Drosophila melanogaster: one gene and its partner. The protein of the gene in region 1 interacts with the protein of each later gene in a pairwise test. Each region holds a gene or a part of one and is shown on either strand. Other genes may lie near its edges. The genes, in order: mRpL19 and Hsp26.

Region 1 (3,722 bases):
GTCGCTGCACTTTGCCGGCCACTATAAACTGGACAACCTTTGCGTGATCTTTGATGTGAACCGCTTGGGCCAGTCGGAGGCCACCTCCCTGCAGCATAAGCTGGATGTTTACCGTGATCGTCTGGAGGCCTTCGGCTTTAATGCCGTCGTTGTCGATGGTCATGATGTCGAGGAATTGAGCAAGGCTTTCCATTGTGCTGCAATCACCAAGAACAAGCCCACCGCCATCATTGCAAAGACGTTCAAGGGCAGGGACTTCCCCAACATCGAGGATTTGGACAACTGGCACGGCAAGCCACTGGGCGACAAGGCCGCCGAAGTGGTGAAGCATCTGGAGGGACTGATTGTCAACAAGAACGTCAAGCTGACCCCTAAGCCGGTGCCCAAGACTGGTGCTGCTCCCGACGTGGACATCAACAACATTAAGTTGAGCTCGCCACCCGCCTACAAGCTGGGTGATTCCATTGCCACCCGTTTGGCCTATGGAACAGCTCTGGCCAAGATTGGCCAGAACAACCTGCGTGTTGTTGCCCTAGACGGAGACACCAAGAACTCAACTTTCTCCGACAAGCTGAAGAACCTCGACCCGCAGCGCTACATTGAGTGCTTCATCGCTGAGCAGAATCTTGTGGGAGTGGCCGTTGGAGCCGCCTGCCGTCGCCGCACTGTGGCCTTTGTGTCCACCTTTGCCACCTTCTTCACCCGTGCCTTCGATCAGATCCGTATGGGCGCCATCTCGCAGACGAACGTTAACTTTGTGGGCTCCCACTGCGGCTGCAGTATCGGTGAGGATGGTCCTTCGCAGATGGGTCTGGAGGACATTGCCATGTTCCGCACCATTCCGGGCAGCACCATCTTCTATCCCTCCGATGCAGTGAGCACGGAGCGTGCCGTCGAACTGGCCGCCAACACCAAGGGTGTCTGCTTCATCCGTACGTCCCGTCCCAACACCTGTGTGATCTACGACAACGAGGAACCCTTCACCATTGGCCGCGGCAAGGTGGTGCGCCAAAAGAGCTCCGACGAGGTGCTTCTGATCGGAGCTGGAATCACTTTGTACGAGTGCCTGGCTGCCGCCGATCAGCTGGAGAAGAACTGCATCACCGTCCGTGTGATCGATCCGTTCACCGTGAAGCCATTGGACGCCGAGCTGATCATCGAGCACGGCAAGCAGTGCGGAGGACGCGTAGTCGTCGTGGAGGATCACTACCAGTAAGTGTTCTTTGTAGTCTTTTTATTTGCCTCCTTTGCTAACTTGAAATTTACTTAATTTCTTATAGGCAAGGAGGCCTGGGTGAAGCTGTGCTGAGTGCCCTGGCTGGCGAGCGCAACTTCGTTGTCAAGCACTTGTACGTGCCCACCGTGCCACGTTCGGGTCCTCCGTCGGTACTCATCGATATGTTCGGCATCTCCGCACGTCACGTCGTCAACGCCGTTAACGAGATCCTCAAGGATTAGGGGACCAGTCGTGATCTGGCTACATTCATTTACCGCCTACAGGAATTCCCCCAGTTACTACTTACTTCCAATATTACCATTCCCTCTAAGATTGTTAATTGCTTCATTGATTTGAACCTTACATCATGGAAATAAAATATCTTTAATAAAAATAGTTAAGCCGAACTATATACCTTATTTACATATTATATTACTTATTTACTATATTACTTATTACATGTTAAGCATGCCTTTAAAATGGCTGGACGATTTCATTGCGTTTGCCTTTGGTTTGCTTTAGACTTGCTTTGGTTTGTTTTTAGTTTGCTGTGGTTTTGCTTTGGTTTATCTCTGGATTTGCTATGCGCTTGATGTTGATTTGACATAGATACTGAAATAAAGATAAGATGAGAAAATGAATAAAATTATAAATTTTTTAAATTTAAGCATACTGCATACTTTTTTAATTTACAAATTTTTAATATTTTTCTAAAAAAAATCGGAGCTTAAAACTAACAAGTTGGCAGTACCCTTCCAATTATAAAGGGTTATCGATAACTCTGCTGTAGCTATCGGTGCTGCCAGCTGATTATAGTGCGGCATGATTATCTAAACATCAATTTGTTTCAGCCGATCCCGAAAACTATTCAAAATGAACTTAAGCACAAGAGTTATGCTGAATAGGTTGACACAGCAGTGTGTCTACAAGCGGATTGGTAAGGAGAGACGTTTTATCTTGTGCCACACATTCAGGAAACGTATTTTCAGTGACCTTCTCCACCAAAACTGCGGAACATGTAATTGAAAATCAGGAGGAACAGAAGAAAGAGGCTCCGCCAACCACGCCGACTTCACCGGTGAACCGGAAGACAATCATTCCGGCCAATTATCGGTTTGTTTACCCAGAATTCCTGCCCGATCCGAAGGTGGAGTGGCGCAACCTCGTGCGCGAGAAGCTGGAGCGACTGGACATGCTGGATCGCCGCAAACAGATCGACCTGCCCGAGTTCTACGTTGGATCTGTGCTTGCGGTGACAAGTTCGGATCCCCATGCCGCTGGCAAAACCAGTCGATTTGTGGGTATCTGTATCAATAGGGATCGCTGTGGACTGCGCGCCCGTTTCATTCTTCGCAACGTGATTGATCACCAGGGAATGGAGGTGGTCTACGAGCTGTATGATCCTACCATCCTAAAGATCGAGGTGTTGCGGCTAGAGAAGCGACTGGATGACAGTCTTTTCTACCTGCGGGACGCTCTTCCGGAGTACAGTACTTTTGATGAGAACATGGAGGCCGAGCCGCTCGAGGAGGGTGCTCCGGTGCCGGTGAACGACATTAAGGTGGTGCTCCGTCCGCGTCCATGGCTGGAGCGCTGGGAACGACAGAATCTGCGTGGTGTGGCCAACATCGATGAGTATCTAAAAGACAAGCATCGCCTGTCGGCGGCCAAGGTGCAGAAACCATGGGAGAAGTACGACATGATGAAGGACTACCGCAGCTCGATTCCCGAGGAGGAGCAGACGGAGATCTTCGCCGAGGTGCACACGGAACTGCACGCCCTGGAGCTGCAGCGAAAACGCAACAAGCGCAAGCGCACTTTCATTAAGCCCAAGCAGCTGGCGTAATTGCATTTGTTGTTCATTTTTTAGAATAAAAATATCGAAAAAATGTTGTTTTATAGTTTTCCACGATTTTACTTTATAAAGATGGTTTTATCATCGAAAAAATGACTGAGGCTGCAATAATATGGTTTGGATAACGCTAAATTAATTAGTTTATTAGTCATAATTGTAGTATAGTGGCTTAGCAACTAAACGCAGAATAATTTACAACGCACATTGCATTACTAATATACGCGATACTTGTAGAAATTGACAAAGGATATCGTTGCGTTCCAACCAATAATTGTGACGACCAGAAACAGTAGAAAGATGATGGGCAGGGCGATGAGAATGATGCGGGTGTTTTTCAGATGGGGAATGCCTGCAGGAGGAAAGCTTTTTAATTCGAGAACTTGATGATGCATTTAATAACTTACAATTGTATCCCAGAAATGTGATGTACACATAATAGCCCATGCCCATCAACCAAAAGGTGTTGCCCAGAAATCGCGAGATGAACCACGTTTGGCTGATCAGCCAGTTGTAGAAGAACAGCTGGATGAAGTGCAGCAGCATCAGTGGCGGAAAGAAGGCATTTAGATGGACATCGAAGGCATAGCCCCACTCGATATCCGGCTCCAGGCTATTTGTGCGCAGATACCGATTCGTCACCGCCCAGAAGAA
Region 2 (3,769 bases), on another chromosome or scaffold:
ACGACACCAATCCCCGCAAGACCTAAAAAATAAAAGATATATCTTAGCCAGATAGGAAGAAAGTGAAAATGTCGCTGATACCGTTCATACTAGATTTGGCCGAGGAGCTGCACGATTTCAATCGCAGCCTGGCAATGGATATAGATGATTCGGCCGGATTCGGGTTGTATCCACTGGAGGCCACCTCACAGTTGCCACAGCTGAGTCGTGGGTTGGGGCGTGGGAATGCAATGATGTGGGTGCCCATCAAGGGTCAGTCGGCGGCATCGCAGCATCGCCATCATCCGTACAATCGTGTGGCCGGAGCCAAGACTGCTTGCTGCAATAAGTCGCTGGTGGAGCTGGAAAAGGAATTGGGCGATAAGGGCACGTCCGGGGCAAGCGGCAGCACCAGTGGCCAACCGGCGGCCAGCAAATCCGCCTACTCCGTGGTGAATAGGAACGGCTTCCAGGTGAGCATGAATGTGAAGCAGTTCGCCGCCAACGAACTGACCGTCAAGACCATCGATAACTGCATCGTGGTCGAGGGTCAGCACGACGAGAAGGAGGATGGCCACGGGGTGATCTCGCGCCACTTCATCCGCAAGTACATCCTGCCCAAGGGCTATGATCCCAACGAGGTGCACTCGACCCTCTCCTCGGACGGCATTCTGACGGTGAAGGCGCCGCCACCACTTCCAGTCGTCAAAGGCAGCCTGGAACGACAGGAGCGCATCGTAGACATCCAGCAGATATCGCAGCAGCAGAAGGATAAGGATGCGCAGCCGCCAAAGCCGTCAGAGGTAGAGCAGCAGGCGGCAGCTAGTGCCACCACTTCCACTTTAAATCCGACTGCACCCACACCCACTCCTTCGCTCTCGCTCACTCTCGCCGAGAGCAACGGCAACGGTCAGGAAGAGACAGAGATGGAAATGCCGGCTGTTTCGCCCCCCATTTCCAATGAGGCTGCTGCTGCCGCTGCTGTTGCAGTGGAAGCCCCTTCCACCGCAGGAACCACTTCCAGTGCCAACAATGGCGTTGCAGAACCAGAATCAGAGTCCATGGAAGTGGCGTTGGCCAAAAACGAAGAGACTGCCAATGTGGATGAACCCACACCCAATCCCGTTATAAGCATCGAAGAGGAGCAAAAGGCAGAGGATGCAAATGCCAACGAAGTGCCCGTTGCCTCGAATAACGGCAATGGAGCAGTCGCAGCAGCCGAGGATGTGGAAATGCCGCTGGCCAAGAAACCGGAAATCTCCACGGAAGACAGCAAAGAGGAGCAGGCGGAGAAGGTTGATAAAGTAGAGAAAGTGGAGGAGAAGGGCGGCGAGGAACTGGCAGCCGTAGATGCGGCCATTCTACTGGCCAAAAACCAAGGCGAAAATGGAGCCACTGCAGCCAAAACCGAGGAACTGGCCAAGTGAAGACTGAACTAAAAGAAAGAACATAAATAGTAATTAAGAACAAATAATAATCTGCACGGGTAGGCGTGCGTTTTATTCCATACGTGTTTCTTGTGTTTTCTTTTCTTGCATTTCACACAAAAAAAAAGAAGCGAGAAAGCTGACGGGAAAAGCACTCAATTACTAATAGTGGGAGATTGCTGGCGTTATATGTATGTATGATTTTCTAAAAAACATATGTGACAACAACTACAAGTATTCCAGTAAAACTTAAAGACAGAAACACGAAATAATGTACTTAATAAAGAGGAAAACCAGAATAAAAAAAACTGACGTTTTGTTTTGTTTGCCGTTAGCCGGCTGTTTCTTTTGCGCTCTTTCTAGAAAATTGCAACAACTCTCTAGAAACTTCGGCTCTCTCACTCATACAGGCGCACTAGCTCTGCTTTTGCGCGTACGACAACAACTACATTTAAAATTTCTCGAAACTCATGGCATTTATTGGGAAAGGTTAGTTAGTTTTATTTTTTGTTTTTAGAGCAGCATTCAATTTAGACTTTTATAAAAGAAATTTCTAATTTGATCCCTCGTTTATCAAACGATACAAAGCTATATTCATAATTTTTTCTCTCTGTGCACGTTCTCTCTCTTCTCTTCTCTCTCTCTACTCTTTCCTTTTTCTGTCACTTTCCGGACTCTTCTAGAAAAGCTCCAGCGGGTATAAAAGCAGCGTCGCTTGACGAACAGAGCACAGATCGAATTCAAAAATCGAGCAGTGAACAACTCAAAGCAACTTTGCGCAAAAGCAAAACTTCAAACGAGAAAAAAAAGGATTAAAAACCTTTGCTTACAAGTCAAACAAGTTCATTCAACTTAACCAAAGAAAAAATATTTCAATCTCGCAAAAGGAACATAACCTAAAGGAAACGTAAAAATGTCGCTATCTACTCTGCTTTCGCTTGTGGATGAACTCCAGGAGCCCCGCAGCCCCATCTACGAGCTTGGACTGGGATTGCATCCGCATTCCCGCTACGTGCTGCCCCTTGGCACTCAGCAGCGCCGTTCCATCAACGGATGCCCTTGCGCATCGCCGATATGCCCATCGTCGCCCGCCGGCCAGGTTTTGGCTTTGCGGCGCGAGATGGCCAACCGCAACGACATTCACTGGCCGGCAACCGCCCATGTGGGCAAGGATGGATTCCAGGTGTGCATGGACGTCGCCCAGTTCAAGCCCAGTGAGCTCAACGTGAAGGTGGTGGACGACTCCATCTTGGTCGAGGGCAAGCATGAGGAACGCCAGGACGACCATGGTCACATCATGCGCCACTTTGTGCGCCGCTACAAGGTTCCCGATGGCTACAAGGCGGAGCAAGTGGTCTCGCAGCTGTCGTCGGATGGCGTGCTCACCGTCAGTATTCCCAAGCCGCAGGCCGTCGAGGACAAGTCCAAGGAGCGCATCATTCAAATTCAGCAAGTGGGACCCGCTCACCTCAACGTTAAGGCAAATGAAAGCGAGGTGAAGGGCAAGGAGAACGGAGCACCCAACGGCAAGGACAAGTAAAGGAGCCATCATCATCCAACATCATCCATCATCATTCCCCTACTTAATTGTTCCTAATTTATTGCATTGTATTTGTAATGAGCTAAAGACTAGAATACTCATATTAATTTAATAAATCCTTTTGTTCACCTGGTGTGGAAAATTAAAATTGTTGTGACTTTTGTATATGAAAGTTGGTTTTTGAAAGAGGCAAATATTTGGAAATATCGATTTGAAGATTTGAATTGGGCGCGACGAGGTGAAGACCCATTCGTAAACACCAGTGTTTCTACCAAATATTTATTGCGCATTTATTATATCAACTACGGGTACAATTTGTATTTTATTTATGTTTGAATCCAATTTAAATGTTCGGCTGCAATTGCTTGGTGTCCGAAAATAGTTCACCTTGAGTTAGGCGCATTCGATGGTTGGGATTTGGGTTTGGTAAAAACACATTCACTGTTTGCCTTCCTGATTTTTGACACATGGTCCACTATTTCCAGGGCAGGGCCAGCTTTCCGGTTTCATGAACGCGGACCAATCTCTCTCCGGGCGTGTAGTACTTGGCTGGCGGCGGTGGTGGAGCCTTGATGGTGAGGATGCCATCGCTGGATATGTCCGAGATTACCTCATTGGCATTGTATCCGCGGGGCAGAAGGTACTTCCTCACAAAGTGCCGCTCCACCAGGCCATTGGAACCCTCGTCGCGACGATTGTGATTTCCCTGGACGATGACATAGTCGTCATTGGTTTTGACCACAATGTCGTGGGGATGAAATTGTCGCACATCGATGTCAATCCGAAATCCCTTCTCATCCACATGGACACGCTCACCGGAATA

What was found.
Region 2: the proteins of mRpL19 (region 1) and Hsp26 interact in a two-hybrid assay, tested with the Drosophila melanogaster proteins (one large-scale study listed by BioGRID).

Annotation. Positions count from the first base shown.
Region 1 is NT_033777.3:8,672,098-8,675,819, forward strand, and holds mRpL19 (mitochondrial ribosomal protein L19), read left to right. Parts: upstream 1-2,011; 5' UTR 2,012-2,089; coding exon 2,090-2,153; intron 2,154-2,205; coding exon 2,206-3,062; 3' UTR 3,063-3,099; downstream 3,100-3,722. Other genes in the region: CG8036 (uncharacterized protein), read left to right, coding at 1-1,212, 1,281-1,458; Unc50 RNA binding protein, read right to left, coding at 3,284-3,420, 3,476-3,722.
Region 2 is NT_037436.4:9,375,739-9,379,507, reverse strand, and holds Hsp26 (heat shock protein 26), read left to right. Parts: upstream 1-2,080; 5' UTR 2,081-2,319; coding exon 2,320-2,946; 3' UTR 2,947-3,090; downstream 3,091-3,769. Other genes in the region: Hsp67Ba (heat shock gene 67Ba), read left to right, coding at 69-1,406; CG4461 (uncharacterized protein), read right to left, coding at 3,422-3,769.